Linked DNA regions of Macaca mulatta. The protein of the gene in region 1 binds, or shares a complex with, the protein of each later gene. Links are inferred from orthologs where the notes say so. Each region holds a gene or a part of one and is shown on either strand. Other genes may lie near its edges. The genes, in order: MYO5A, MLPH, SPIRE2 and RAB11A.

What was found.
Region 2: the proteins of MYO5A (region 1) and MLPH are in contact, whole or in part, in a crystal structure (PDB 4KP3), measured with the Mus musculus proteins. The link is inferred for Macaca mulatta from reciprocal best matches to the Homo sapiens genes MYO5A and MLPH. Residues at the interface, in NP_034994.2 of Mus musculus: Asp1524, Val1527, Arg1528, Leu1531, Thr1532, Ile1535, Asn1536, Lys1539, Ser1570, Gly1571, Leu1588, Thr1589, Asn1590, Phe1591, Asp1592, Leu1593, Ala1594, Glu1595, Tyr1596, Val1599; in NP_443748.2 of Mus musculus: Lys184, Lys186, Arg187, Leu188, Leu189, Ser190, Phe191, Arg192, Asp195, Phe196, Glu197.
Region 3: the proteins of MYO5A (region 1) and SPIRE2 are in contact, whole or in part, in a crystal structure (PDB 5JCY), measured with the Homo sapiens proteins. The link is inferred for Macaca mulatta from reciprocal best matches to the Homo sapiens genes MYO5A and SPIRE2. Residues at the interface, in NP_001369276.1 of Homo sapiens: Asp1551, Val1554, Arg1555, Thr1559, Ile1562, Asn1563, Lys1566, Ser1597, Gly1598, Leu1615, Thr1616, Asn1617, Phe1618, Asp1619, Leu1620, Ala1621, Glu1622, Tyr1623, Val1626, Asp1629, Leu1630, Gln1633; in NP_115827.1 of Homo sapiens: Arg404, Pro405, Arg406, Val407, Leu408, Leu409, Lys410, Ala411, Pro412, Thr413, Leu414, Met417, Glu418, Met420.
Region 4: the proteins of MYO5A (region 1) and RAB11A are in contact, whole or in part, in a crystal structure (PDB 5JCZ), measured with the Homo sapiens proteins. The link is inferred for Macaca mulatta from reciprocal best matches to the Homo sapiens genes MYO5A and RAB11A. Residues at the interface, in NP_001369276.1 of Homo sapiens: Ile1660, Gln1661, Trp1738, Met1742, Arg1745, Tyr1746, Ser1749, Gln1750, Glu1753, Arg1756, Gln1777, Gln1780, Val1781, Lys1782, Lys1784, Met1795, Glu1818; in NP_004654.1 of Homo sapiens: Arg33, Glu35, Ile44, Gly45, Val46, Glu47, Phe48, Ala49, Thr50, Gln63, Trp65, Gln70, Tyr73, Ala75, Ile76, Ala79, Arg82.

The regions. Positions count from the first base shown.
Region 1 is NC_133412.1:29,822,945-29,830,295, forward strand, and holds the start of MYO5A (unconventional myosin-Va), read right to left. Parts: upstream 5,107-7,351; 5' UTR 4,734-5,106; coding exon 4,707-4,733; intron 1-4,706. UniProt on the Homo sapiens protein: Processive actin-based motor that can move in large steps approximating the 36-nm pseudo-repeat of the actin filament. Can hydrolyze ATP in the presence of actin, which is essential for its function as a motor protein. Involved in melanosome transport.
Region 2 is NC_133417.1:142,719,374-142,726,988, forward strand, and holds the start of MLPH (melanophilin), read left to right. Parts: upstream 1-3,475; 5' UTR 3,476-3,854; intron 3,855-7,615. UniProt on the Homo sapiens protein: Rab effector protein involved in melanosome transport. Serves as link between melanosome-bound RAB27A and the motor protein MYO5A.
Region 3 is NC_133425.1:85,310,542-85,317,230, reverse strand, and holds the end of SPIRE2 (protein spire homolog 2), read right to left. Parts: intron 3,798-6,689; coding exon 3,663-3,797; intron 3,497-3,662; coding exon 3,429-3,496; intron 3,184-3,428; coding exon 2,661-3,183; 3' UTR 2,389-2,660; downstream 1-2,388. UniProt on the Homo sapiens protein: Acts as an actin nucleation factor, remains associated with the slow-growing pointed end of the new filament.
Region 4 is NC_133412.1:43,314,965-43,322,293, reverse strand, and holds the start of RAB11A (ras-related protein Rab-11A), read right to left. Parts: upstream 3,840-7,329; 5' UTR 3,723-3,839; coding exon 3,683-3,722; intron 1-3,682. UniProt on the Homo sapiens protein: The small GTPases Rab are key regulators of intracellular membrane trafficking, from the formation of transport vesicles to their fusion with membranes.

The DNA.
Region 1 (7,351 bases):
GTGGCTCCTGTACATGTGAGAGGATATGTTGGGAATCAAAAGTTACACATATACAATCTACCAACCTTAAGAGCTGTTTCATCTAGGCAAGTTAACATGCTTTGCAAATGTGGAATTTTAGATTGTCTTTGTACTGTTACAATACTCAGCATCTTAGCACACATGGGAACCTCCTAACCAAACAGCTTCAAGTAAAAACAAAACAAAACAGAAAAGTAAACAAAAAAATTTAAACTTTTTAAAAATTAAAAATAAGCCAGGCATGGTGGCTCATGTCTGTAATCTCAACACTTTGGGTGGCCGAGGCAGGAGCATCACTTGAGCTGAGGAGTTAGAGACCAGCCTGGGCAACATAGCAAGACCCTGTCTCTATAAAAAGTACAAAAATTAGCAGGGTGTGGTAGCACGTGCCTGTAGATTCAGCTACCCGGGAAGGTGAGGTGGGAGGATGGCTTACGCCTGGGAGGTCGATACTGCAGTGAACCATGTTCACACTACTGGACTCCAGCCTGGACAACAGAGCAAGACCCTGACTCTAAATAAATAAATAAATAAATAAATAGGCTGGATGTGGGGGGCTCATGCCTGTAATCCCACACTATGGGAGGTGGAAGCAGGAGCATCACTTGAGTCCAGGAGTTTAAGACCAGCCTGGGCAACATACTGAGACCATCTCTAGAAGAAATTTAAAGATTAGCTGGGTGCATAACTGTGGTCCCAGCTACTCATGAGGCTGAGGTGGGAGGATAGCTTGAACCCAGGAGTTAAAGGCTACAGTGAGCCATGTTCACTTTCACTGCACTCCAGCCTGGGTGACATAGTGAGACCCTGTCTCAAAAAAAAAAAAAAATTAAAAAAAAAAAAATCAGCTTCAGGTAATCTTGACCATTCTACAGCATTTATGGTGCTATCCATGGTGTCTGGGAACATGATGAGAGGAGGAATAGCATGCCATTCATTATAATGCTGCCGGTAATCCTTCTAGGTCTAATTGATAAACCCCACTCCACAAATGTAGAATTGCTTCTAGTTACCAAAAGCACCTATGGGTGATATAAATATGCACTGACAAGTCAAGACTAGCAAATATTTTCAAAATCAGAAGCAATGACATATCATAGTTTCCTTCAATTTTTGAGGGAGTAAGGCAGGTTGACCCACAAACAAATCAACATACTACTGTGTGAATAAACCAAAAACCATTGAATAGTACACTTTAAATGGTGAATTATATGGTATAAGACTCATATCTCAATAAAGCTGTTATTTTTAAAAATCAACAAAACATGTTTCAACCAAAATATTAGTTTCCAGAAATGTATCCCAAGAACCTAGCTACTGCCCTGAAAATGTTTATACTGCAGGAAATTTTGACAAAATGGAAGCCTTGTTAAATTGCTGTGACAAAACCATTATCATTCTGGCTAAAAAGAAGAAACTGAACAGTCTCTTGTCCTTCACTGTAATAGGAACTGATCTGTATCACACATCAAAATCTGCCCTTAAGATCTGAATGACATTTTTTTAAAGGGTACTTTTCATATTTAACCACTATATTAAATACTATAATTATGGCATGTCACTAATACATCTTTCCTTGTAATCTATCCTAGAACTTCCTTCCTATAATCCTCTGCAAGGGGAAGATCCTTGTGCTTATCCACTGATAATACTTCTAATGATTTTCCTATTCCTCTAGTAATTACAATAGTAGCTTTTATTTCTGGAATCAGCCCAATCTTCCCCATGTCCCAACCCATTCCCTAACTTCTACTAATAAGGTTATTTATGTCCCTATAGATTCAAAGTGGGTCAAGAATGTAAGAAGCAGACTGTGAGCACGTTGAGGGAAAGGACTGTATCTTGTTCACTGTTATAAACATTAAGCAAAGTACCTGGCACACAGGATGCCAGGATGCCTGATAACTATTTCCGCTTGCCATTAAGCTAAGGCCCATTTACAAAAAGAATTAGCCAACAACCAACCAAGTAACCAGATTATTAATTAGGCATAAGTGTATTTAGAAAAAGGCAGTGTAAGCCCCAACTTCAGTCTTGCTCTCTAAGCCAGTCTGTTTTAAAATGAGAAAGAGGTTAAAAAGAAAAAAAATTTTTTTTGAGACATGTTCTTGCTCTTTTGCCCAGAATGGAGTGCAGTGGCACAATCATGGCTCACTGCAGCCTCAACCTCCCAGGCTCAAGCAATCTTCCTGCCTCAGCTGATCCTCCTGCCTCAGCTCGAGTAGCTGGTACCACAGGCGTGACTACAACGCCCAGCTCATTTTTTAATTTTTTTTTTTTTTTTTGAGACCAAGTTTCCCTCTTGTTGCCCAGGCTCGAGTGCAATGTGCAATCTCTGTTCACTGCAACCTCCGCCTTCCAGGTTCAAGCGATTCTCCTGCCTCAGCCTCCTGAGCAGCTGGGATTACAGGCATGCGCCACCACGCCCAGCTAATTTTCTATTTTTAGTAGAGACGGGTTTTGCCAAGTTGGTCAAGATGGTCTCGAACTCCTGACCTCAGGTGATCCACCCACCTCGGCAACGTGTTGGGATTACAGGCATGAGCCATCGTGACCAGCCTAATTTTTTAATTTTTTGTAGAGACCAGGTCTCACTATGTTTCTCAGGCTGTTAAAAGGTAAATTTTAAAATAGATTGTGATAAAGCTGTGACAGAAGCCCAAAACGTTACCATTTGCAAATCATAATATCTTTCCCATTTTTTCTCTCAAATCATCTTGGGGGGAAAAAGTGTTCAAAATCCAACAACAATTAATTATCCAATCAGTCTCTAGTTAAGCAGCTTACTATTAAGTAGCTCAAAGATGACTGCTCACCATATACAATGGGGGGTGTCCAATCTTTTGGCTTCCCTGGGCCACGTTGGAAGAACTGTGTTTGGCCACACATAAAATACACTAATGATAAATGATGAGCTTAAAAAAAAAATTGCAAAAAAAAAAAAAAATCTCATGTTTTAAGAAAGTTTACGAATTTGTGTTGGGGCACATTCAAAGCGGTCCTGGGCCCGGATGCAGCCCACGGGCTGCGGGTTGGACGAACTTGATGTAGAAGTGTAGGGGAGGGGCTACACAAAGTAACCAAGGAATGTTTACAGACCGATTATCTCTTCATGTGAAAATGATTTTGATATTTCTTAATATCAACCTCATAAGTCCCTTATAAGGATTATGAGTTCATATTTTTAAAACGCTTAAAACAGTACCTGGCACATAGTAAGCACCATATTAAGTGTCTGTTAAGTTACTTTTAATCAGTTTCCAATTGCATTCGTTCACACATCAGAGATCTGCAATGCCTAAAGAAATTACCAGGTTGAGAGAGAAGTTCCAATTGGACAGTCCTTAAACCTAAAACTAGAAAGAAAGAGGTCTCAGAGAATGTTTCATGCAAGTTCCTCATTTCATGGTTGAAGAAATTAATCATATTACCTCATATTTGCAGAGAAATTCATAGGTTACAAAAAGCTTTCACAACTATTATTAAGTTTAATTATCAGAACAGCTTGTAAGGGATGAAAGGCAAGTATAATTAACTCTATTTACTCATGAGGAAATCGAACCAGAAATGTTAAGTGACTTGTCCAAGGTCACAGTGAGTAAGTGAAAAGGTCCCGGCTTGAATCCAGGTCTCTCGATGCCCAGTCCAGAATTCTTTCCTCTGTAAAACACACTGCAACTTGGGCCCTGGACTTGAGTCACATTTGGAAACAATGATTCCAGTGATTACAGGACCCTAAATGAAAGTTCTATTGCAAATGCTAATGTGAAAAGGCAACTCTATTAACTGCATGTAGAAGTAATCAATAGTTGGCAAAATATCTACCTACACATGGGTGTATAGTATAAAATGCCATGATTACATATATTCACAAAGGTCATCACAAATCTGCACAGCACTCAAGTGACAGTTCTCCATAATAGGCCATTCAGAGATTGCCAGACCCTGAGAATATTGATGTCACTCTAAGAAAAGACTGCCACTTCCCTTAAAGCAAACCCAGAAGGAAAGGTTTGCCCCAGAGGATGTGAAGACACGGAGCCTAACAAGGCTCTGCGGGATTACACGCAGGTTGCAAACTCCCAGCGACAAATGAGTACCGACCCTCCCAGCCGGTGAATCAGCTCGCGTTCATCCGGCAACATCTTTCCCCGGGGCTCGCCACCCCCAGCGCAGCTAAACCGGGGAGCTAAAGGTGATACGGCCACCGTTTGCAGGATTCAAAATAACCTCACAGAAAGGCTGGCTGGCGGTACAAGCAGCACTGCATACCAACACAGGACGTTATTTTAAGCGCGTGTCCCCATGAGAGAAACCATCCGATCTACCGGAGCAAGCATCTCCCACCCGCCGGGAGTTTTCCAAAGCCAAGCAGGAGGTGAGGCACGCCCGCCCTGCTAAATCCACATGGGCCCCCTTTCCACTCGGAAGCCCGCTCTGCCCCCAGCTCCAGCAGCGCAGCAGGAGCCGGGGAGACCCCCGAGGCGGGCCTCCCTCCGTCGCCTTAACCATCTCGCCCGAAAGAGGAAAGTGCTGCAGCGGGCGACCGGCGGGTAGGGCCGAGGGTTCTGAAGCGCTGAAGAGGGTGGCGCTGGCCCCGCCGCTCCCGCCCCCTCCCCAGCCTGACAGCTGGCGGCAAGGGCCGCGCGGCCCCAGTCCTCCACGCCGGCCACGGGGCGCCTTACCTTTGTGTAGAGCTCCGACGCAGCCATGGCGGGCTCCGCGCGCCTACGCCCCCCGCCTGTGCGGAGGCCGCACCTCGCCTGGGCGGCCGTCCGCTCGGACTAGGAAGCGCCCGCAGCCGCCGGCGGGGAGCAGGGCAGGGCCGGGCGGGGCCGGGCGGGGCGGGGCGGGGCGCCTCAGGCGCTGGCGGCCCGCGGGGGCCTAGCCATCACTCCCGGGCTCGCGGCGAGCAGCCGCGAGCGCTCCACCTGCCCGGGGTCCTGGGGGTCGCCGCCGCCGCCGCCGCCGCAGCCACCTCGGCGGCCTGCGATGCTGCCGCCGCCGCCGCCGCCGCCGCCGCCGCCCTGTGCATTATGGGAGCGGGAGGAGGCTGCGCTCCAGCTGGGCCACCGCGGCTGCTCTGGGCTCTCTCAGGCTCACGCTGCCTCCCAACGGCTGCGAGCACAGAGCATCATCATCATCAGCCTGCCAGCCGGCGCCGCCGCCTCCCGCGCTACCGAGGCCCGGAAACCCGCCCGGGACACTGGCCCCGAGGGCGCGGCACACCCCGGGCGCAGGCCCCGAAGCGAGCCCGGGACTCTGCTGCGGAGCCTAGCCCCCGTGGTAGGGCAGCCATGGCGGGGGCCGTCACTGTGTCCGAGTAAACGATGGGAACCTCGAGGCTGCTCCTCCCGTCCTTCCAAGCATTCCTAGGGAGAGGATTTAGGGGAAGCCCTCTTGAAAGACTGTAGAATAACCCAGAACTGCAGAAGAGCCTTGTCAGCAGGAGTGACCCGGGAGATGGGCAATGCAGGACCGGGAATTTGAGGTTAAGGATGATCACCAAGGTCATTCCGAGCACCTCGATGTCTGCAGCAAAGCCGTGTCATCATGCCGGGAGGGCAGGAGCCGCTTATAAGCTACAGAAACTTAAGTGACTTTGAAACGAGATAGCCTCAGGGGACAGCCCAGGTGCCTCTTTCCTAGACCTGTGCGTTTGCAGAGATGCAGCTACCCTTCTGTCCCAGCCTTCTTTCCTGTCCTGTTCTCTCCTGGTGATTGTCGGCTCCATGGTGGCACCTGAAGTTTATCCCGTTGCCACCTGAAAATGACAGAGTACTTACATGGAAAATCTATCTGCAGTTTAACTCAGCATCAAAAGATCAAAGCCGCCCTCACTCTCCTCAGGGTGAGCCTTGCACATCCAGCACAAAAATGTGGTCTTTCTACTCCCAACCCTGCGCTGTCTTCACCCTCTATCTTCTCCCCACCCTCATTTTCGTTCCTGGTTGAATAATCTTCATTGTTGTTGTTGTTGTTGTTTGTTTAATCCCTGCCTCATCTCTGGTGTCTTTGAACTACAACTGGTCCCCAGTAGCCTGTTATAGTAATCTGGTAGACCATTTCTATCAAGACCAACTCTCATGGCTGGGGGCCCCGGTTGTGTGTGTTATGTGTGTGTGTATTTGGAGAAAGACCATTCATTCGCTGAAAGGAACAGGGGGCCAGTCCTTACTCCCTGGAACTCAGACCTCTCCTCTTCGCCCACAATCCCCACGGAAATGCTAGAGGGAATGGTTACAGAGTCGAAAGCCCTGCAGATTTGTCTCTGTTCCTTTCCATTGTAAAACCAAATCGCTTTCGTGTTTCTGGGACCCACCCTTTCTTCACCCAGACGTAAAAAGAGAAAACGTGTGCAGTGACGACCAGCGGAACGGAAGGAGCACTGGATTGAGATTTACGAGGCCTGGCTCCTACGCCTTGCAGTTTCTTCATGCCATGTGCAAGGTGGTAACCACTCTGCCTGTTTTCTCACCATCAGATAATACCTACCTCCCAGGACTGTTGAGAAATACTGAGTATACTGAGAAAATAAATAAATAAAAACTGGAAGAGTTCTTGTAGGTGTGAATGCTTTCTTCGTTTTCTTTTCTTTTTTTCAAGTGACAAGGAGAAAAAAGAAACGGGAATTATCCTCTTTTAAGTCCAGAACACATGCATTCAACCACTCAAATATTTGGGGCCATGCTAAAAGAAAGGTAATGGAGATGAGGAGGAGAAGAGTTTTGTTTATTTATTTATTTATACTGAGTCTTGTTCTCTCACCCAGGCTGGAGTCCAGTGGCACAATCTCGGCTCATTGCAACCTCTGCCTTCCAGGTTCAAGCGATTCTCGTGCCTCAGCCTCCTGAGTAGCTGGGATTACAGGTGCCCACCATCACGCCCAACAAATTTTTGTGTTTTTAGTAGAGACAGGGTTTCACCATGTTGTCCAGCTTGGTCTCAAACTCCTGACCTCAAGCTATCCGCCCGCCTCGGCCTCCCAAAGTTCTGCGATTACAGGAATCAGCCACTGTGCCTGGCCAGGTTTTGTATTCTTGACCTTACCTTACTTCCTTCAGAAAAAAAGCAGAGTAAAAAGTCAGAAGCAGCAAAGGGAAGCCCTGAGGGGTGGCCTCTGCTAACTTCCACGTATACATTCACAGTTCCAAGCACTCTGTCACTAGTGAGGTGTAGAAATCAGCAATAGATACAGCTTCCCAGGGTCTGGAATCCCTCTCTCAAAGAGTAGCTAGAGGGTAGTATATTTTATTTTACGTTGTTAAAGTTTTCCGTTATTGCTTTATTACTGGGAACATTTTTATGTAGATTGTTTTCAAATGAAAAC
Region 2 (7,615 bases), on another chromosome or scaffold:
TGTGTGATCTTGGGTAAACACCATCTGACTCTCTGGGCATCAGTTTCCTCCTTTAGAAGGTAAACAAGGAAGGGTAGGTCTCAGGGCAGGGTAAAACGTCACGGAGGTAGAGAGTACCAACAACAGGCACCCTGGGGAGCCCTGAGAAGAAGCTGGGGAGGCAGGAATACAAAGACATAAAATCTATTCTCTGCTACCATTTGACATTGTTTATGAAATTTTGTTCTTTATTTATTTAATTTTTTTTGAGACAGAGTCTCGCTCTGTCACCCAGCCTGGAGTGCAGTGGCACCATCTCGGTTCACTGCAACCTCTGGCTCCAGGGCTCAAGCAATTCTCCTGCCTCAGGAGTAGCTGGGACTACAGGCACGCACCACCACACCCGGCTAATTTTTGTAATTTTAGTAAAGACATGGTTTCACCATGTTGGCCAGGCTGGTCTCGAACTCCTGACCTCAAGTGATCTGCCCGCCTCTGGCCCAAAGTGCCGGGATTACAGGCATGGCCACATCACCCAGCCTTATGAAATTTTAAATGTGTACACCCCTCCTCCAAAAATAGACATTAATTACAGAGGGGAAGGGAGTAACCTGCCCGTGGAGAAGGCTGGAAGACAGCACCTTAGTCCGGAGATCACAGCAGCAGTAAGGAGACATACTGTATCCATGCACCAGCTGACAGGACACAGGGAGAGGACCCCGCCTCACTTCTGCAAGATTCTCCCAACCATGCAAAACCTGCGTATAATCATGGGAAAGAGCAGACCAACCCAAATTTAGAGACAGTCTAAAAAATAAGTGGCTTAATATTTAGATAGCAAAGCCATGAGAGTCAAAGACAGAGGAACTGATCCGATTTGAAGGAGACTTAGAAATGACAACTAAACACAACATGAGATTCTGAACTGGATCCTTTTGCAACAAAAAATTACGGAGACAACTGGCAACATTTGAAAGGACTCCAATGATTAGATGATAGCAACGTATCATTTACAGATGTTGATGGTTGGATTGCAGTTTAATAGAAGGTTGTCCTTGTTTGTATAAAATACACTAAACCTTCATGTCAGAAATTCATCACAAATGGCTAGGGGAAGGGAGGGTTCTTCGTGTTATAATTGAAACTTTCTGTAATTTGAGGATTGTTTAACCATTTTAAATATTTATAATTCTAGGGCCAGGTGCGGTAGCTCACGCCTGTAATCCCAGCACTTTGGGAGGCCGAGGAGGGTGGATCACGAGGTCAAGAGAGCGAGACCATCCCGGCCAACGTGGTGAAACCCTGTCTCTACTAAAAATACAAAAATTAGCTGGGCGTGGTGGCATGCGTCTGTATTTCCAGCTACTGGGGAGGCTGAGGCAGGAGAATTGCTCAAACCCAGGAGGCGGAGGTTGCAGTGAGCCGAGATCAAGCCACTACACTCCAGCCTGGCAACAGAGCAAGCTTCTGTCTCAAGCAAAAAAAAAAAAAAAAAAAAAAAAAAAAAAAAAAAAGCTTATAATTCTAGAATTTTCTCTTAAAATTGTGTACATCCTTTGACTCAGAAAATCCAAATCTGTAGGCTTTTAGTCTACAGATATATCAGTATGTATGTACAATGATATTTATGTGTCATCCTATGTATGATAGGTGTCAATAAGAATTATGTAGAATGATATATTTATGGCAGAATCATTTAAATAGCAAAAAATCAAAAATTAACTGTCCATCAATAGAAGACTGATAAGTAATTATGGTAACTCACACAATGGATATTCTACAACCAAAAAAGGATGAAGTGGCTCGACAGAAATAGTAATTAGTATTTACCAAGCACTCACCACGTGGTGTCTCACCCAAGCTGCGGGGATATTGATCCACAACACCCTTATGTGTAACTCCCATTACTATTCCCGTCATGGAGAAGAGAGAAAAAAAGTCGGCCAAAGATTCAGTTACAGGTCCAAGATGACACAGCTTGTGGGCCACACTCCTAGCTAGAATTCCGACTCTTGCAGTTGGTTTGAGCCCACATGCTTCACCACAGACACACACACACACACACAATTCAGAAAGAATACACAAGACACCATTAATAATGATTGCTTTCAGGTCGTAGAGGTTGGTAGTGGAATAAGAGAGAAATTGGCTTTTCATTTTATATTCCTTATATTCTTTACTATATACCTTATATATCAGCATGTGTCAGTTGTATATTTTTTAAAACCACTAGTTCAAATACATAAGCACTAAAGTATTAAAAACTTAAAAAAAAAATTCTGCCCTTAAGGAACTTAAGTCCCCACATCAACTCTTAAGGGATTTATTAATCTTACAGGCAACAGTAAGGCATATGGCAAGGAGGTAAGGAAATGAAAAACACAAACACCAGATCATATGGGATGTGGAAACGCTGGCGTCAGTGTAAGCTTCACCCCATTCCAGGGTTCACACTCAACAATTGATGGTGTTTGGTGACAGCACCTGTCCCAAGGCAGCCCAGGGACCTGAAATACCCTGATTCACCTACAGTGTTCCCCAGGGCTCAGCAGGCAACAACATTCTTTTTTATTCTTTTGCAGCCTTTTGAAAGCTGTTTACAAATAATCTAATGTGATATCACAACAATCCTGTAAGGTTTCGTTTCCTCTTCTGTTAAATGGAGATAGTAGTATCTGTTCACCTGATGGCTTTATTCCTATCATTTTGCAGATACGGAAACTGAATTGCAAAAGCAGTTCCTGAAGAAGGGAATGTAAGTTTTTAATGACAAGGGAGAGGGAGGAGGAGGGAGAGAAAGTTCTGAAGCGCTCAGTCCTGGAGGATGAGGGAGGAGGGCAATTCCCTAATGTCCACTGGAACTCGGAAGGACAGGCAGGCGTGGCGGACTGGAGATGGCGGCTCGCCTTGGGACCCTCTGAGTTCGCGGGCCCCACTGAGCACCCAAAGGCCGGCCCTAGAGTCCAGGAGGAGAGCGCAGCCGCACGGAGCTCCCAGGCATCCCCCGCAGCGCGTCCTCGGTCCTGGCACCGCCGTGCCGCGCGTCCTGGCTTCCACATCTGCCCCATTTGCCCACGGATCTTGACTTTTTCTTGGCGGGCAAGGCCTCGGTCTCCACCCCGCAGCGGGGTTGCCTGAGGCTGCGGGACCCTCCTGGTCCTGATGCCTGGCAGAATCGAAGGGGTAAGGGCACGCGCTCTGCAGCAGAAAGCCCTGGGCTTAAAGTCCCACTTATTATTTGGCGTTGCCACTTACTGGTCGGTGGCTTTGGTAGGGCGCGTTTCTGAGCCTCAGTTTCCCCATCTGTAAAGCCGAAGTAAATAGCGCTCTCCTGGCAGAGTTAGAAATTTCGACGATGTGCCGCGCGTTCTAGAGCGTGCTCAGCAAGCGGGTCCACCGTGCCCAAGGCAGGACCGCGGCACAATGTCACCCACGCAAAGTCGCCGCAACTCACGGGAATCGCAGCTGTGTGCTGAACCTTCCCCACTCCGCCGCCCTCTTTCTCCCCAAACTGACCTGGGGGCGAGTATCCGGGGCTCTCCCCCGCACTGGCGCTTCCCGCGCGGGCGTCCCAGGTGAACGTCCCGCCCTCGGCCTGGCAGGGCATCCAGAAGTGTCCGCGCTCCCGGAGCTGGGCGGAGCGGGGCGCAGCCCACGTGGTTCGGGCAGGAGGCGCCGGGACCTGGCCAGCTGCCCGCCTGCCCCGAGATCCAGGCGCGAGCCAGCCGCTCTGCGCCCCGCGCCCTGCTTGCCCCCATTATCCAGCCTTGCCCCGGCGCCCTGACCTGACGCCCTGGCCTGACGCCCTGCTTCGTCACCCTCCTTTCTCTCCCAGGTGCTGGACCAGGGACTGAGCGTCCCCCGGAGAGGGTCCGGTGAGTGCCCCGAGAAGAGGGAACAGCGGGGCTATGGTGGCACCCAGGACTGAGGGCTTAGGCTTTGGGGAGTGCGCGGTGTCGCGTGCAGACCCACTGGTATGAAACCGCCCCCAGCCGCCAGCCTCCCTGCCTTGGTCCAGGCTGGTGAGGACAGCGTGTTCCCAGCCACCCAGCCTTAGTCCCCAGGCTTCACCTGGATTCTTTGAGCAGACTGGTCTGGGTGCGGGCACGGGTGGGAGTGGGGTGGTGGGGTATCCCCATTTTGGGCAAAACGGTTGGTTTTAATCGGAAGCTCCATTGCCTCCATTGCGAGTCTGCCATGCAGACTGGGCCAAGGCTGCTGATGCCACGCAGGCTGGCCCCAGGGGAAAGGCTTCCTCCCTGCCCGGGAGCTGGTCTTGCGGTGAGGAAGAAGCCGGATGATCTTGGCATGGGAGGAGGCACCCGGCTTCCTTTGGGTATCTAAAAGGCTGTTTTATTGGAATCACCTTTTGTTTGCAGACAGACTCCCTGGGCCCGCCAGGGAGTTGTGGGAAGTAGAGATATGGGAAGGGTCTGTGAGCTCTGAGCACCTGTGGGCTTCGTCCCGGCCCTGGCCCCAGGTCCCTACAGGAACTGAATCTCACTTGTAAATCCCCGAAGATTCCACAGGCTTTAACACCGCGTCCCACTGACATTAACTGGCACTGAAAACTCCACCTCACTTCCACGCAGAGCTTGGGTTGGGGCCTTTACAGGCCCTGTTTTTAGGTGGTGTGACTGGTATCTTGTTCACATATTTCTTTCTGAGGGAGTGAAATGACAGTCGGGGGAGAGCAAGGCTCCCCACAGGTGCAAAGGCCAGCATTGCTGGGGGCTGTGAAGTCTCAGGAAAAGGCTCCTGGACTAGCCGACCACGCTGCTGACATTGATGCCTCGGGTTCAGCTGGCCTGCATCTGTCCTTAGAAACCCATCCCTCCACCTGCTCACTGTTGGGACTCAGCTGAGGTCAGCAAGGTCTCAGCCTTCCTGGGCCAAGCCCCCTCCCCGCCCAGGGCCGTGCTCCTCAGTATCTAAGTACCAGGCATGGGTCACTGTGCTCCTGGCCCTCACTCAGGCTCAGAGAACAGCAGCAGGTGCCTCAGAGGATTGACTGAGGACACATTTAGAGAACATGGGGCGGTGCCAGGCACACACATGGGGAGTCAGTGGGTCTTGCTGAATATGGCATGAGTGACTTGGAGAAAATTAAAACCAGCTGAATGTGTACCCAGTGAGGGGCTGGAGGTGGCGGAAGTGTCCCAGAGCCCTGTGGGCTAATGGGAAAAGTGAATTTGGTGCCTTTCAACCGCAGTGTAACAACGGCTCAAGTGAGCCCCAGTCTCAGCGGTTGGGGCAGCCTTCTAGGGCCAACCATCTTGTTCTTTTCCAAAGCAACCTCTGGAGGAACAGCCCTTGCCCCTACTCCTCCCCACTATCCTGACGCCATCACTCCCCCTCCCAATTTCAACATCCTGGCATCATCCAGGGCTGGAGAGGGCCAGAGAGGTCCTGGAGCTCAGCCATTGTCCATGGTACAGATGGAGAAACTAAGACCCTGAGAGAAGTGGCATCTGTCCCAGGCGGCCGGGCTGGCTGTGCCTGAACTGGGATGGGAACCCAGCTCCCACCTCTCAGCCCCATCCTCCCTCTGCAGCCTCACCTGGGACCCATCCTCCCTCTGCAGCCTCACCTGGGACCCATCCTCCCTCTGCAGCCTCACCTGGGACCCATCCTCCTTCTGCAGCCTCACCTGGGACCCATCCTTGCTGTAGAGACTAGCACTGAGGCTTTAGGAGCAAATGCAGAACTCATGTCCATTTATCAGTGGGGTTTACCACCAACTCCCCAGAGAACCGGGAGAGCAGAGGAGATGGCAGCTTGGTAGGCAGGTGGCTGAGGGGCAGAACAGCCTCCCAGTGCTGTTGCTGCTGGAGCCATTCCAGACCCTTGTGGCTACAGCACAGATGTGCCTGGTTCACCTGTAGGGAAGGGAGTGGCCCTTCTGGGTGGAAATGTGCTCATTTAGCCACTGATGAGAGCTGGGGGTCAGTGCCTACTGATGGGCCCCGCCTACAGAAATAACCACACAGGCCAACCTGGACAGCAGCATTCGGGAAATGGCCACAAAGGATTAAGGCAGAAGGCACCACAGTTGTCATCTCTGCTACCTCCCCTTTATCAGCAAGAATAACACCCACGACACGCCTTGGCTGAGTCAGAGAGGGCATTCCTGCTGTCGTTAGCTTGCCAGTTTGTTTGCTCAGGCAAGTGATCACCCACAATCACCATTGTTCCAAGGCTCTCTGAGCAGCCAGCTGAAGAGCTACTTAAGCCAATTCTTCATCCAGGAGGAGCCCCCACCCTGATTTCCCTTCAATTTGGCCAAAAAATGAATTCAACTCTTTAATGGATAAAGGTGACACACCACTGGAATTCAGCGGTCTGGGCCTGGGATATCCATCTTATAAAACCAGCTCCACTCTCTCCTCCCTGCCTGTTAATCCCTGTGTCCCCTCCCTCTGCCCCACTATGGCTATTAAACCACTGGGGAAGGCTGGCTGTCTCCAGTGGTTAAAATATGATTGAATCTGAGCAGTGGAACAGGCACTAAAGGGAAGTGTTTTGTTCAGGAACCTCGTGAGCAGGCGTTATCTACACAGAAATGGAACAAGGAACAGATAGAGCAGGGTGGCATCTGCCCTTGCCCAACACACGCACTCTGGGAGCCCCCACCCCCACCTCACCCAGCTAGGGCAGGCACAGAGCAACCCTGCACTCCTCATGGGTCTAGCATGTTCTCTACCCTCACCTCCCTGAGCCCATGGAGGTCGAGGCTACAGTGAGCCATGATTGCACTACCACACTCCAGCCTGGGCAACAGACTGGGACCTCATCTCAAAAAACAAGAAACAAAACCAAGATTTGAAAGGGGATAGAAAGAGGGAGGGACAGGTATCCAGGCAGCCTCTAGGACATTAGTTGTGATGTACTGTGATCTTTTTATCCATTCACTTACTGGTCACTGACTGCTCTAAGAAGGTTGCAAGATAAGAAAAGCAGGTTTTTCCTTTTGTTTTGCTTTTCTTCCTCACATATCACGATTTAAGTTTCTCAAACTGAGGCCTGGAATTTTGGCTTCTGCGTTAGGAGAAGAGAGGGAATGCTAATGCCTCAGCTGATGGTCACACTGTCCATCCATTCTGAAAATAGAACGTCGGTGAATGCTCTTCTTATGATCCCTTTTTTTCAGAACTCATGAAAAATAAAAGTGAATGAACTCCAGTCATGCATCAAATAATAACTTTTTGTTCCAATTCTTTAGAAACCAGAAAGTGTGTGCTCTGCGGAAGCATCAAAAATGAGTTCCGTGGTAAGGATTTCTTGACCAGAATCTAAATCTGACTGTAAAGGAACAGAGTTTGAATGTTCCCAGGACATTGGGGCAATCTCTTCCTATATTGCAAACACTCCTCTTTACATTTGAGAATGGAAATGTTGAGGTGTGGGTGTAAAAAAAAAAAAAAATTATCCTTCCCCATTTTTATGGCATAAGCCAGGGACTATTTTCGCTGACTTCCATGAGAGCTTTGTAGACATTTTTATTTTAAATGGTATTTGCCCAGAAAATGTAACTTTTCATAATTAACCTCTTGCGCAATGAAATCGAAGTACGTCTCCAGCACAGGGGAAGTTTTGTTAGTATTTTTGTGATAAACACTTCCAAATGGTCAGCAGC
Region 3 (6,689 bases), on another chromosome or scaffold:
GGTCACATACTTTTGGAATGTTTAAAAACAAAAACCTATGAGGGTCTTTAAAAACTGCATACTGTCATCCGGGCACGGTGGCTCACGCCTGTAATCCCAGCACTTTGGGAGGCCAAGGCGGGTGGATCACGAGGTCAGGTGTTCAAGATCGGCCTGGCCAAGATGGTGAAACCCTGTTTCTACTAAAAATACCAAAATTAGCCGGGTGTGGTGGTGGGCGCCTGCAGTCCCAGCTACTCGGGAGGCTGAGGCAGAGAATTGCTTGAACCCAGGAGGCGGAAGTTGCAGTGAGCCAAGATCATGCCACTGCACTTCAGCCTGGGTGACAGAGAGAGACTCTGTCTCAAAAAAAAAAAACAAAACCTGCACATTGTCTCGGAAAGACATCTAAGATTCCTTCTAAGATGACGCGTAGACATTGGTGTGTGCCTGACACTACTCACCGTAAAAGCACCATGGAAGCCAGAGGGGCCTCAATTGAGATGCTCAGTTTTAAAAGGTGAGTCAATTTTGTTTTAATCCCCGTATCTGACTTCAAAAATAAATACCTTCTTATGAAAAATTCAAGGCCGGGCGCGGTGGCTCAAACTTGTAATCCCAGCACTTTGGGAAGCAGAGGCGGGCAGATCACGAGGTCAGGAGATCGAGACCATCTTGGCTAACATGGTGAAACCCCGTCTCTACTAAAAATACAAAAAAATTAGCCGGGCCTGGTGGCGGGCGCCTGTAGTCCCAGCTACTCGGGAGGCTGAGGCGGGTGGATCACCTGAGGTCGGGAGCTGGAGACCAGCCTGACCAACATGGAGAAACCCCATCTCTACTAAAAATACACAAATAGCCAGGTGTGGTGGCACATGCCTGTAATCCCAGCTAGTCGTGAGGCTGAGGCAGGAGAATCACTTGAACCTGGGAGGCGGAGGTTGCAGTGAGCCGAGACTGCGGCATTGCTCTCCAGCCTGGGGAACAATAGCGAAACTCCGTCTCAAAAAAAAAAAAAAAAAAAAAATTCAAACATGAGAGAATTAAAATTTGGACACTACATCCTCAGAAATGATCCCTGCTAGTAATGGTTTCCATCCTCCAGGCTTTTCCAAGTATATATCAACAGAAATATATATAATTTTACAGATAAAATGAGGTGATTTTTTTTTTTTCCCAGACAGGGTCTTGCTCTGTCACCCAGGCTGGAGTACAGTGACACCATCATAGCTCACTGCAGCCTTGACCTCCTTGGCTCAAGTGATCCTCCTACCTCAGCCTCCCGAAGTGCTGGGATTATAGGCGTGAGCCACCATACCCAGACTTACTTTATTTATTTATTTATTTATTTATTTGCGACAGTCTCCCTCTGTCACCCAGGTTGGAGTACAGTGGTACTATCTCAGCTCACTGCAAGCTCCACCTCCCAGGTTCAAGCAGTTCTCCTGCCTCAGCCTCCCAAGTAGCTGGGACCACAGGCGCCCACCACCACGCCCGACTATTTTTTTCTATTTTTAGTAGAGACGGGGTTTCACCATGTTGGCCAGTTTGGTCTCAACCACCTGACCTCGTGATCCGCCCACCTCAGCCTCCCAAAGTGCTGGGATTACAGGTGTGAGCCACCACGCCCCGCCCCAGCCTTACTTTTTTATTCAGTCTGGGAAACTCTAGCTTTTACTTGGGTTGTTCAGATCATTTACAGTTAATGTGATGCTAGATAAGTTGTGTTTAAGTCTGACATCTTGCTATTTGTTTTCTTTTTGACTCATTTATTTGTTCCCCTTCTTTTCCTACCTTTTTTTGGATTAATTAATATTTATGGTTCCATCTTATCTCCTTTGTTGGCTTATTAGCTGTAACCGTTTTATTTTAGTGGTTGCTTTAGGACTTACAGTATACATCTTTAACTTATCACAGTCTACCTTTAAGTAATATTTGTATTGCATATATAACACCTTACTATACCTTATCATAGTGATTCACCTTATCATAGTGAACATAGTGTACTTCTGGCCGGACGTGGTGGCTCACGCCTGTAATCCCAGCACTTTGGGAGGCTGAGGCGGGCGGATCACGAGGTCAGGAGATTGAGACCATCCTGGCTAACACGGTGAAACCCCGTCTCTACTAAAAATACAAAAAACTAGCCGGGCGAGGTGGCGGCGCCTGTGGTCCCAGCTACTCGGGAGGCTGAGGCAGGAGAATGGCGTGAACCCGGGAGGCGGAGCTTGCAGTGAGCCGAGATTGCACCACTGCACTCCAGCCTGGGCAACAGAGCAAGACTCCATCTCAAAAACAAAAAAAAAGAAGTATACTTCCAATTTTCTCCTCTCCCTGGCCTTAATGCTAACTATTGTTATCAACACTACTTATACGTGTGTTACAGAACCCACAATACATTGTAATTAATTTTGTCTTTTTTGCCTGCCTGGTAATCTTTGATTAGATGCCAGACATTTTATCTTGCTGAGTACTGCTTTGTTTTTTTGTTTGTTTTTAAAAAAGTCTTGTTCTTGAGCTTTGTTCTCAGAATCAGTTAAGATATCTGTGAACAGTTTGATCCTTTCAGGTCTTGCTTTTATGATTTATCAGTCAGGCCTGGAGCAACACTCACTTTGGGCTACTTATTCCACATTAGTGAGGCCAGGCCTTCGTGTGCATTCTGGTGAGTGCCCTGTGAATCACGACATTTCTGGCTGTGGCTGATGGAAACGGATGTTATTCATTCCTGGCCCTGAGCACTGTTCCTTCAGATCTTTATAACAAGGGAAGGTAAATTTTTTCTGTAAAGGGCCAGAGAATAAACCTTTTAGGCGTGGCTGAGCGAGTAACAAATGGGTGTGGCTGTGTTCCAACGAGACTTTACTCGCCAAACAGGCGGAGGACCAGATTGGGCTATGGTTTGTCAATCTCTGCTTTAGGAGAAATGTTTTGCAGCCTTCAGTCATTTCCTTCAGAGAGGGGGCCCTTCTCTGAGGCTTTCTCGGCGCAGCCCTCTCCTCCGGAGTTCTGCATGGGGGATTCAAGCTGCTGTGGTCTCCCTGGATTTCCTCCTTTCCGGGAGTCTGGCGGCTGTGGCTCATGGCCGAGAAACTCTCCAGACAATGACTGCGGTGATGGCAGGCCTGCCCTGTTGTGTTTCCTTTTTGTTGCCTGCTGTCCAAAGTCTTGAAAAACATTGTTTCATATCCTGTTTGTTCTGGGCTGTAGAAGATGCCGATTACCCCATCTTGGCTGAAACTGGGAGTTGCTTAGCTATTTAAGTTTCATTTAATTTAAATAAAATTTAAAATTTAACTCCTCATTCAACTAACGATATTTGTGGACTCATCAGCCATGGAACATGCTAGAACATTCCTGGAGTCACAGGAAGTTCTGTGGGCAGCACTGCCCAGAGGCTTCTCACCTCCTCCTCCCCTTGTGAACTGGCAGCTAAAGGGAAGGCTCACCTCTTGCAGAAGAGACAGGTGGGCGGCCACGAGAACAGCGGGAACTTGGCCCGGCAGCAGCAGCAAATCTGTCAGGAAAGACCTGATTAGAGCCCGGCTTTGTCCAAAGCTCCCTGGGTCCTGCCCTGTCCTTGCTGCCCCTCAGGGTTCCCAACCAGATCATGAGCAAACAGTCCTGGGATCCGCCCCCGACGCAGCGGGCAAGAGAGCAGCCCCACGTCTAGGCAGCCTCACCTTCCCCTTCTTCAGACTGCTGAAGAGCTCCTTGTTCTGCAAAAACTTCTCCATCTCGGCCTTCACCAGCACACGGCGCACGTCCATCACCTCTTCCACGGTCAGCGCAAGGCTCTCCACGGGGTGGCTGAACTCCTGGGGGACGGGGCAAGGGGCTGTGCTCACTCGGCCTCAGGTAGAAAGTCTTCCATGCAGGAGTCTCCCCCAGCTTGCTCTCCTTCCCTGAGGACCCTCACGCCTTCCTGGCCTCAGCCTAAACAAGCCCGCGACCTTCTAAAACACTTGTCCGTCAGCCATCCATCCCCGTGTCTTTGATGAGGCGCTACTGCTGCAGGCTAGGCCTCCCATGACCAGCGGCCCCTGCCAGCCAACCCAGCCTTCACTGGCCACGCTCCACACACACTCCCCTCAGCCCATGTTTGTTCAAGGTGTCCCTCCCTGCAAACACACTATGGGCAGATCCACACCAGCCAGAGTCCATCTCAAATCCTCCCTCCCTGAGCAGCTGATGTCCTCTCATCCGGGAGGTCCAGGAGCCTCCAACAGACCACCTCACTCCTGGGGCCCAGCTTGCATCTGCCCATCTGCACTCAGCACACCTCCTGTGTCCTGACCACCAATTCCTGGGGCCACATTATGATGAGTGTGTCCTGTTTTTGCCTCCCTGTGCTTGGCATAGAACTTGACACCTGATCTCTCTAAGCCTCAGTTTTCTCTTCTGTAAAACGGGGCTGGATTTCAGCTCCATCGAGATGACTCATGCCGGCATCGCGTTTGCAGTGTCAGTCATTACTCTGCCGAGGCAGGTGGGCACCGTCTATGAAGGTGCCACACGGATGGAGTTGGACCATGTGCTCTGCTTTGGATTTGCAGTGGGTTATCCTGTCTAGAGCTGGGAACACATGCTCCTGTCTGGCACTGGGAGGAGCTGCGGCCCTTGCATTTGTTCCTCACTATGACCTGAGGCACCCAGAGCTTTGGGCTTCTGTTGCCAATTGCCTGATGGTGCTGTTTCCAGCTGAACAGGTCACCTGAGATGTCACAGATGTTACGCCAACAACGTCCGTGGCCAGGAGACCTCACGTCGGGTGCAGAGAACAGCTGCCTGCCCCCCAGGTGAGGCTGTGAGCCCAGGGCAGATGGAAGGCCAGGTTCGGTGATGCTCAGTAGCCCCCCTTCAGAAAGCACTTCTGAGACTTCAGAGCTAAAGAACCACTCATGTGACCTGTGGTCATCTTAAATGCGTCCTCTAATTCCTTAAGAAGTGTTGGCCGGGCGCGGTGGCTCAAGCCTGTAATCCCAGCACTTTGGGAGGCCGAGACGGGTGGATCACGAGGTCAGGAGATCGAGACCATCCTGGTGAACATGATGAAACCCCGTCTCTACTAAAAAATACAAAAAACTAGCCGGGCGAGGTGGCAGCGCCTGTAGTCCCAGCTACTCGGGAGGCTGAGGCAGGAGAATGGCGTGAACCCGGGAGGCGGAGCTTGCAGTGAGCTGAGATCCGGCCACTGCAACTCCAGCCCGGGAGACAGAGCGAGACTCCGTCTCAAAAAAAAAAAAAAAAAGAAGTGGGCCTTAATTCCCTCCCTCCCATTGAGAATAGGCTGGACTTCCTGACTCGCTGCTAATGAGTTGGGACAACGTGGCACTTCTGGACTTGGCCACAAATACTCAGTGGCTTTCACGGCGGTCACTCTTGAGCCACATGCTCTGGGGGATGCCAGCCGCCACCCTGTGGAGATCGCCAAGCAGCCCCGAGAGAGGCCTGTATACACAGCAGGGCACTCGCGTCTCCTGCTCACAGCTGGCTGAGGACGCCACTTCATGTGGTTCCTCCAGCTCCCATTTGAGCCTTCAGTCGAGACTGCAGGCCCCACTGCCATCCTAACTGCAGCCTCACGAAAGACCCTGGGCCGGAGCTACACGGCGAAGACACTTCCGGAGTCCCAACCCTCAGAAACTGTGTGAGATAATACATGTTTGTTATTTTAAGATGCTACATTGTGAGGTAACTTTTGATGCAGTGATATATAGCTAATCTTAGACTAATGAGGCAAGCCCTGCATTTCGGCGGGGCCTGCGACCTAGACTAACGGGGCAAGCCCTGCGTTTCGGTGGGGGATACGAACAGTGCCTTGCGTTTATATAAGGCTCATAGTTCTCAAAGCATTTTAACATCTGTTCTCATCTGAGCCTCTTGATAAAACCTCAACTAGCGGCAGCAACCACACCGTTCACATCCCTCCAACACCTGCATGCTGCCAGCATGGCCCACGGGCCGCACACTCGCCTTACCTCAGTTGATTAAATGATACACTAGAACTCACGTCCACGTGGCCTCAAGATGTCAGCAAAAGTGAGCTCCTCACAATTACAGGTCAGATATGAAACCGAGGGGAGAGGGGCTGAGCAGTACCCTGGCGGCGTCACGGCCAGAGTCAAGGTCGCGACCCAGTGAAGCCCCGTCACACTGACCTCCAGGCACACAGGGCGCGCAAGTTCGCCGCCTGCCCTAACCCCACACTGAACCCTTCAATTCGGGACGTCCCTTGCAAGGTGGCTCCAGGATCCGGGGTCGCAGTGCGGTTCGGCCCCAGCAGGCGGCAGCAGAGACCACTGCCGCAGGCCAGCAGCGCCACCACTGGCGCCCCGAAGACGTTCAGACCACGCCCCCCAGACCGGCGCTCAGACCACAGTCCCCAGACTGGCGCTCGGACCACGCCCCCCAGACGCGCTCAGACCCGCCCTCCCAGACAGGCGCTCAGACCACGCCTCACAGACTGGCGCTCAGACCACAGTCCCCAGGCAGGCGCTCAGACCACGCCCTCTGAGACAGGCGCTGAGACCACGCTCCCCAGACAGGCGCTTGGACCACGCCCCCCAGACAGGCGCTCGGACCACGCCCCCTGAGACAGGCGCTCGGACCACGCCCCCCAGACAGGCGCTCAGACCCGCCCTCCCAGACTGGCGCTCAGACCACGCCTCCCAGACTGGCGCTCAGACCACAGTCCCCAGGCAGGCGCT
Region 4 (7,329 bases), about 13 Mb from region 1:
ATTGAAAAGAAAATGTCTTAAGCAATAGACTATGTATCCAGGTATTTTCAGAAAATGTAACTTTGGATTGGTGCCTACCACACAATATTTGTAAACAGAAATTATGACTGATGCTTACTTACGTCCCACAGGGCCTTAACCACATTGTTTGTAAATACAAAATTAAAGTTTTAAAAATAAAAAGTTTAAATAAAATAAAACTAATTCCCTCCCACCAAAAGTCTCACTATTGGGCTTAAATAAAGGTCATAATTTAGAATAATTGTACTGCTCGTCCCACATTACATTCCTATTTAGACCACTCCATCCCCTATTAATTAAAATATCCCTTTATTTTCAACTTGTTAGTTACAAACTAACTCCAATTTCCTCAACTATTGCATTTGCTAGGTTAAGTCTAAGTACAAACAGCTGCAGTCCATCTCAGTGAATAAATCTCTGTACAATAAAGTTATTTTAAAATAAAATCATTCTTCACTTTAAAGCAGGATACTTGTATAAATAAGAAATTGGCTAAATAATCAGTATTGAAGTTAAAAAAAAAAAAAAGAAAAAAGTGACTCATATCCTGTAAGAGCTTTAAAAAATTAGAAATCTGGCCAGGCACGGTGGCTCATGCCGGTAATCCCAGCACTTTGGGAGGCCCAGGCAGGTGGATTACCTGAGATCAGGAGTTTGAAACCAGCCTGACCAACATGGAGAAACCCCGTCTCTACTAAAAATACAAAATTAGCCGGGCGTGGTGGTGCATGCCTGTAATCCCAGCTACTCGGGAGACTGAGGCAGGAGAATCGCTTGAACCCAGGAGGCAGAGGTTACAGTGAGCCAAGATCGCATCATTGAGCTCCAGCCTGGGCAACAAAAGCGAAATTTCATCTCAAAAACAAAAAAGTAGAAATCCTCCTCAGCAGAAGTTTTAATACCCTATCTTAAACAGCAAAATGCACAACAAAATGAAACCATAACCCATGGAAAAATAAAATGCATTAGAAGTTTCCAGTTTTATGTTTTTTTAATAATATTTAAACGCTGTTGTAGTTGAACCTACATTTAAGGTTCAAAAAACCGACAAAGGCCAGGCACACTGGCTCACGCCTATAATCCCAGCACTTGGCGGGGGCTGAGGCAGGTGGATTGCTTAAGTCCAGGAGTGCGAGACCAGCCTGGGCAACATGGCAAAACCCTGTCTTTACAAAAAAAAAAAAAAAAATTAGCTGGACGTGGTGCTGCACTCTTGTAGTCTCAGCTACTCTTAGGAGCTAGAGAGTAGCTAGGGAGGCTGAGGTGGGAGGGTCACCTGAGCCTGAGGAGGCCGAGACTGCAGTGAGCCTTGATTGTGCCACTGCACTCCAGCCTGGGGGACAGAGCGAGACCCTGTCTCAAAAAAAAAAAAAAAAAAAAAAAACTGACAAAACCACAGTAACTTCTTTCACATTATTACCATTTATTGAGTCCTCATGGTTAAAATTTTACAAATAGTCTCATTTAACTCTCACAACAATCTTAAGAGACAGGTATTTTCCTTTACATAAATGAGAGAACTGAGACTCAGAAAAGTTAACTTTTCCAAGGTCATATAGTAAATATAAGACCTGAGTCAGGATCTAAACCGAAATCTACGTTAATTCCAAAGCTCGGTGCTCTCAATCGTTGCTAGAAGGATGGTCTAATCAAAAAGCTGAAATACTTTAGGCCAATTCAGAATATTTAATATTCTTTGTTAAAAAATAAAAGGACCTTGTATAACCAACATTCCAGTTCAAACCAAATAGGAGAAATACCCTGACGGTCTATCTTGTTCTGAATTAATTACTTCAAAGACAGCCTTTATAAAGGCACACTACCATTATACCATATTTTAAAACACAAACCTCCCTTTAACCCCAAAGTCTCAAGAGATTCAAATAATTTCACATCATCTCAGATACCTTCGGCAAAACGTATGCTATAGTATACTTTCTGTAATCCAGGTCTGAGTTTTGTATTTGTAAAATGAACTAAGTACCCTGAAAGTACTTTCCAGCATGGGGTGGAGGGGGGATACCAAAAGTATTCACCCTATACAATAGAATATTCTGGGTCAGAGGCGTAAGAGACGACAAGAGTACAACAGCAGGCTAGTATAACAAGATTTGCAAAGTATTGGGAAAGCAAACAAATCTTTCCTGCTTGGTTTAGTCAATCATTCTTAGCACCCAATGGCAAAGACAGAAACAGTCACCATGCTTAACACTCTTTAAACTCCACCCTCCACAGTAAAGCTTTAATAGCAATGGCTTCTTCCTCAGTGGTAATGATCTTTGTTCAGCACACTACTGATGGCTACCTTCCCAATTCAGGAGCAGAGAAAGAGCATCAGAGTGAGAGTACATTCACTGAACAATAAAAGCATCTACTGTACTTTCTTCTTATTGAAAAATGTACCCTTTATCTTCGTTGACTAAAAAAAAAAATTGGATTCCTTCCGGACTCAACCAATAAGCAATTCTTTCTAACCAACCCTGACCCTCCGATATGTTCTATCCAAGGGCACTACATGTTTCCGTACCTTATAATAAATATTTAATGTGACCAAAAGAGCACACAACTTCCTTCCTACCCCCAACCTTTTGGGAAAGGTATGTGGCCAACTAGGGCTCTTCCCTTCCTGTTGGATCCTCCCAGTGTTGCAGCAGGAAGCAACCAGTCCATAGAGATAAAGCAAGCTAGTATTTGTGCAGCGCACAACCTTTCCTGCTCAGGAACCGGGCCTTCAGGTCTGGCAAGGATAACAGCCACCACCCATCCGCAACCTCTTCTCGCGAACCGAGTAAAGAGTTATCCCGGGTTGTGTGCCACTGAGTAGGGAGAGCAAGATAATAAAAGGCTAGGTGGGAAGTAATGTCAGCCTGCCGGGTCACTGCGACAAGTGCGCGACTGGGTGATGGTCGATCCCTCTTACCCTCCCACCACCCGGGTCGCAACGGAGACCAGGGAGCTCTAAACACGATCTGGGGAGGGAAGGTAGAGAGAGTTGCCAAATGGGGAGTGGGGGAGGGAGCGGTCAGAGAAGGTTAAGGACCGCGAGAACCGCGGGGCGGAGGGTGGGGGTGGGGACCCCTGGCCCGCTCAGATTTTACCGGGTCCTGGACCCGGGATGCGAGAAGCTTAGAGGGGGGGCCGAACAAGGGGAGGAGATATGCAGAAAAGAGGCTCGCTCGAGGGGGAAAGGGGGCAGATAAGAAAAGACCTGTAGTGGGAGTCTGCACCGAAGGCAAGGCCAAGAGGGAAGCGAAGAACCCGTCACAGGGGCTTCGGGAGAGGACGCCAGCCGGGAAAGGTGTACGCTGAGGGGGAGGGGGCGCTACACCCGAAAAGAGAGATGGTGGGAGGGGCGGCGGGGCCGCAGAACCCAGGGAAAGGAATTCGACGATATGCGAGAAGGCAGTCCGCCAGGGGAAGGACACGCAGGGAGGGGCTGTGAGGCCAGCCAAGGCCCACGGAGAGGTCGCTCAGAGAGCGGCATGTGATGGGGACCCCTGTCTGAGGAGGAGAGAAGCTGAGCTGGGTAGGAGACGGAACCACACAAAAAGGAAGGGCTGAGGCAGGCCTCTATCAGTGCACGGGTGGCCGGCACGTCCGCCGAGTGTGTCCCGGGTCCCCGAACGGGGACTGTGTAGAGTGCGAGAGCCCATGGCCTCACCTTTAAAGAGGTAGTCGTACTCGTCGTCGCGGGTGCCCATTGCGCGGCCGAGGAGCGAAAGGGCGGGAGCAGCAGTGGTATCTGTGGGACCAGGGGGCGTCGCTGCAGGGGTAACCCGAACGCCGAGCTTCAACTGCCGGACTGGGTGAAGAGCCCCTCCTTGCCGCTGCGCCACTTCCGGCAGGCCCCAGCCTTTAAGGGGAAGTACTTCCGGGGGCGGCTCCCCGTCCCTGAACCCAAGAAGGGCGGTATGCACGAGAGTCGCGATGCGTGGGGCTTCAAACTTTCGTCGCTAAAGGAGGCTCAAAGGGGAAACTGAGTCCTGGAATTCCTAGCTACCGTGGTCTTAGTGGCCTCTTGCTTATTTCTCGAGCTACCGTGCCCGGAAGCGACTCGCTGGAACCGGGCGGGACCGCCTGTGAGTGGTGGGTTTGTGGATGGGGGCGGGGTTGTCTAAGGATCAGAGAGCCGAAGGCAACTACATATGCGTGGCGGTTCCATGGTGTAATGGTTAGCACTCTGGACTCTGAATCCAGCGATCCGAGTTCAAATCTCGGTGGAACCTGCATTGGTGCTTTTTTTTTTCCTTAACAACTTTTTTGTTCACTAAGTAATTGAACAACTATGACATATATTAACATGGAGATGTAAAATTTAATCCTTGCCTATGAAGAACTCACAAATTTCCCACTGCATTTGAGGTACTATCTGCTACCTGGCGGGGGTTGTCTTAATGAGCCTCTTCACTACCTTTTTTTTTTTAACCCTGGCCCCTCAAACTTTAATTCAGAAGCTTCAATGAAACTTGAAAATTCCTTTTGCTGGAATTTTCTACCTCCAGCTTCATGCACGGGTAGGCGCTTGTCACTCACTCCTCTCCGGAAATCTCTCAGTCTATCTCGTTTTCATTTAGAGTACTTCGCCCACCCTCCTCATCAAGATTCATCAAGAACTTGAGTCCTATTTGTAGGCCTCTAATCTAAGTCCGTTTACATAAGTATTTCATTTAATATGCCGAGCAAAGGATGGCAATTTCCATTTTAGCGGAAATTTGGATACTAAGACTCAAGTGATTTGCCAGATATCATGCCGCAGGGCCTCCCTGTATTTGAAGAGAATTTTGTAATTCCAGAAAAGCCTTTATCCAATTATTGTCACACCTCCTACCTCCTATATGCAAACTCTCGATTTAGACTTGTGGGCAAGTGTGCCTAGAACAAGCAGAAGAATACCACCTGCCAATGATGTCCACTTCCCAATTCCCAGAGACTGAATAGGTTAGGTTACATGGCAAAGGGGAATTGAGGTTACAGATGAAATTAAGGTTGCTAATCAGCTGACATTAAATTAGGGATATTATCCTGGATTATTTGGGTGACCCCAGTGTTGTCGTAAGAGTACTTAAAAGTGGAAAAAGGGCTGGGCACGGTGGCTCACGCCTTAATCCCAGCACTTTGGGAGGCCGAGGTGGGTGGATCACCTGAGGTCAACAGTTCAAGACCAGCCTGGCCAACAAGGTGAAACCCCGTCGCTACTAAAAATACAAAAAGTTAGCCGGGCGTGGTGGTGGGCGCCTGTAGTCCCAGCTACTCTGGAGGCTTAGGCACGAGAATCGTTTGAACCCGGGAAGCAGAGGTCGCAGTGAGCTGATTAACAGCTGAGTCAATGGGCTGGGAAAGGCAGGCCCACCCTTAACCTGGGTGGGCACCATCTAATCAGCTGCCAGCGAATATAAAGCAGACAGAAAAATATGAAAAGGCTAGACTGGCTTAGCTTCCCAGCCTACATCTTTCTCCCGTGCTGGATGTTTCCTGCCCTCGAATGTTGGACTATAAGTTCTTCATCTTTGAGACTCAAACTGGCTTCCTTGCCTCTCAGCTTGCAGAAGGCCTATTGTGGGACCTTGTGATTGTGCGAGTTAATACTACTTAATAAACTCCCATTTATATATATATATGTCTATCCTATTCATTCTGTTCCTCTAGAGAACCTGGACTAATACAGTTGGTAAGAAAATAAAAAGGAACTGTCTAGTAAAAAGCCTGGAATTATAAATTTAGAAATGCCTAGCCTTAGACTGTGGGAGAAGCAAGACCTGAAATATATCTCACCCTCCACATCTGGGGAGGTAACCTTACATGTTTGTTAAAAACAAAGTGAGGACTGATAAGGCTGTGTTTAAACTTCAGCTCAGTCATTCACTAAAGCTGTGTCAATTTCAATAATTTATCTAATCCTGCTGAATCCCAGTTTCTTATCTGCAAAATGGGGACAAACAGGAAGAAGGAATTAAGTAACATATGTATAGCTGTTAACAGTGTGCATGGAACATAATAAATATTTATGAATGCATTGACTTTTTTCTTTTTCCTTTTTTTTTTTTTTTTTTTGAGTCAGGGTCTTGCCGCGTCACCCAGGTTGGAGTGCAGTAGTGCGATGTCGGCTCACGGCAACCTCCGTATCCTGGGCTCAAGCAATTCTCCCACCTCCACCTCCCAAGCAGCTGGGACTACAGGTGTGCACCATCGCACCTGGCTAATTTTTGTATTATTTGTAGAGAGGGGGTTTCGCCATCTTTGCCCAGGCTGGTCTTGAACTCTTGAGCCCAAGCGATGCTCCCATCTCAGCCTCCAAAAGTGCTAAGATTACAGGAAAGAGCCACTGTGCCTGGCCAAATGCAGTGATTTTCAACAGGGGTCAATCTTGTGTCCAGAGACATTTGATAACATCTGGAGACATTTTTAGTGTCACTACTTGGGGGTGCTACTGGTATCTAGTAGGGACCAGGGATGCTGCTAAATGTTCTACAACACACAGGATAGCACTCCCAACAAAAAGAATTATCTGGCCCAAAATGTCAGTAGTTACCAAAGTTGAGAACCATGAGTTATTATTGTAAGAAATAGCCAGATGCCAGGCCAGAGCCTATGATGGGAAAGGGGCAGGATGCCATGATCCTCACCTCCCTGTCCTAGCTCATTTGAAGAAAGTGAACCTCATTCCCTAGGTCTCAGGAAGAATCCCCAGGGACAGACTTTCCTCCCTTCCATATCCCATAAAGCAGAGCCTGGGGGCCACTGGCCTGACCCAAAAAGCTTCCGTAGTGGTTTCCATTTGTTAAATAAACATGTCATTGTTATATTTCTTTCTTTCTTTTTTTTTTTTTTTTTCTTTTTTTGGAGATGGAGTCTCTCTTTGTCACCAGGCTGGAGTGCAGTGGTGCGATCTCGGCTCACTGCAACCTCTGCCTCCCAAGTTCAACTGATTCTCCTGCCTCAGCCTCCTGAGTTGCTGGCATTACAGGCATGCACCACCACACCCGGATAATTTTTGTATTTTTGTAGAGACAGGGTTTCACCATGTTGGCCAGGCTGATCTCAAACTCCTAACCTCAAGTGATCCACCTGCCTCAGCCTCCCAAAGTGCTGGGATTACAGGCATGAGCCACCACGCCCAGCCTCAGTGTTCTATTTCTTAAAGGATTTTTACAGGGTTGTTCCCTTTATAACTGTGTTAAACTCTATATACCAGTTTTATGCGCTTTTGTAATAATATTAGGTTTACCTCACAATACAATTTTCAGATGGGGCATCGTAGCTTGTGCCTGGGAGGCCAAGGTAGGAGTATCGCTTGAGGCCAGGAGTTCA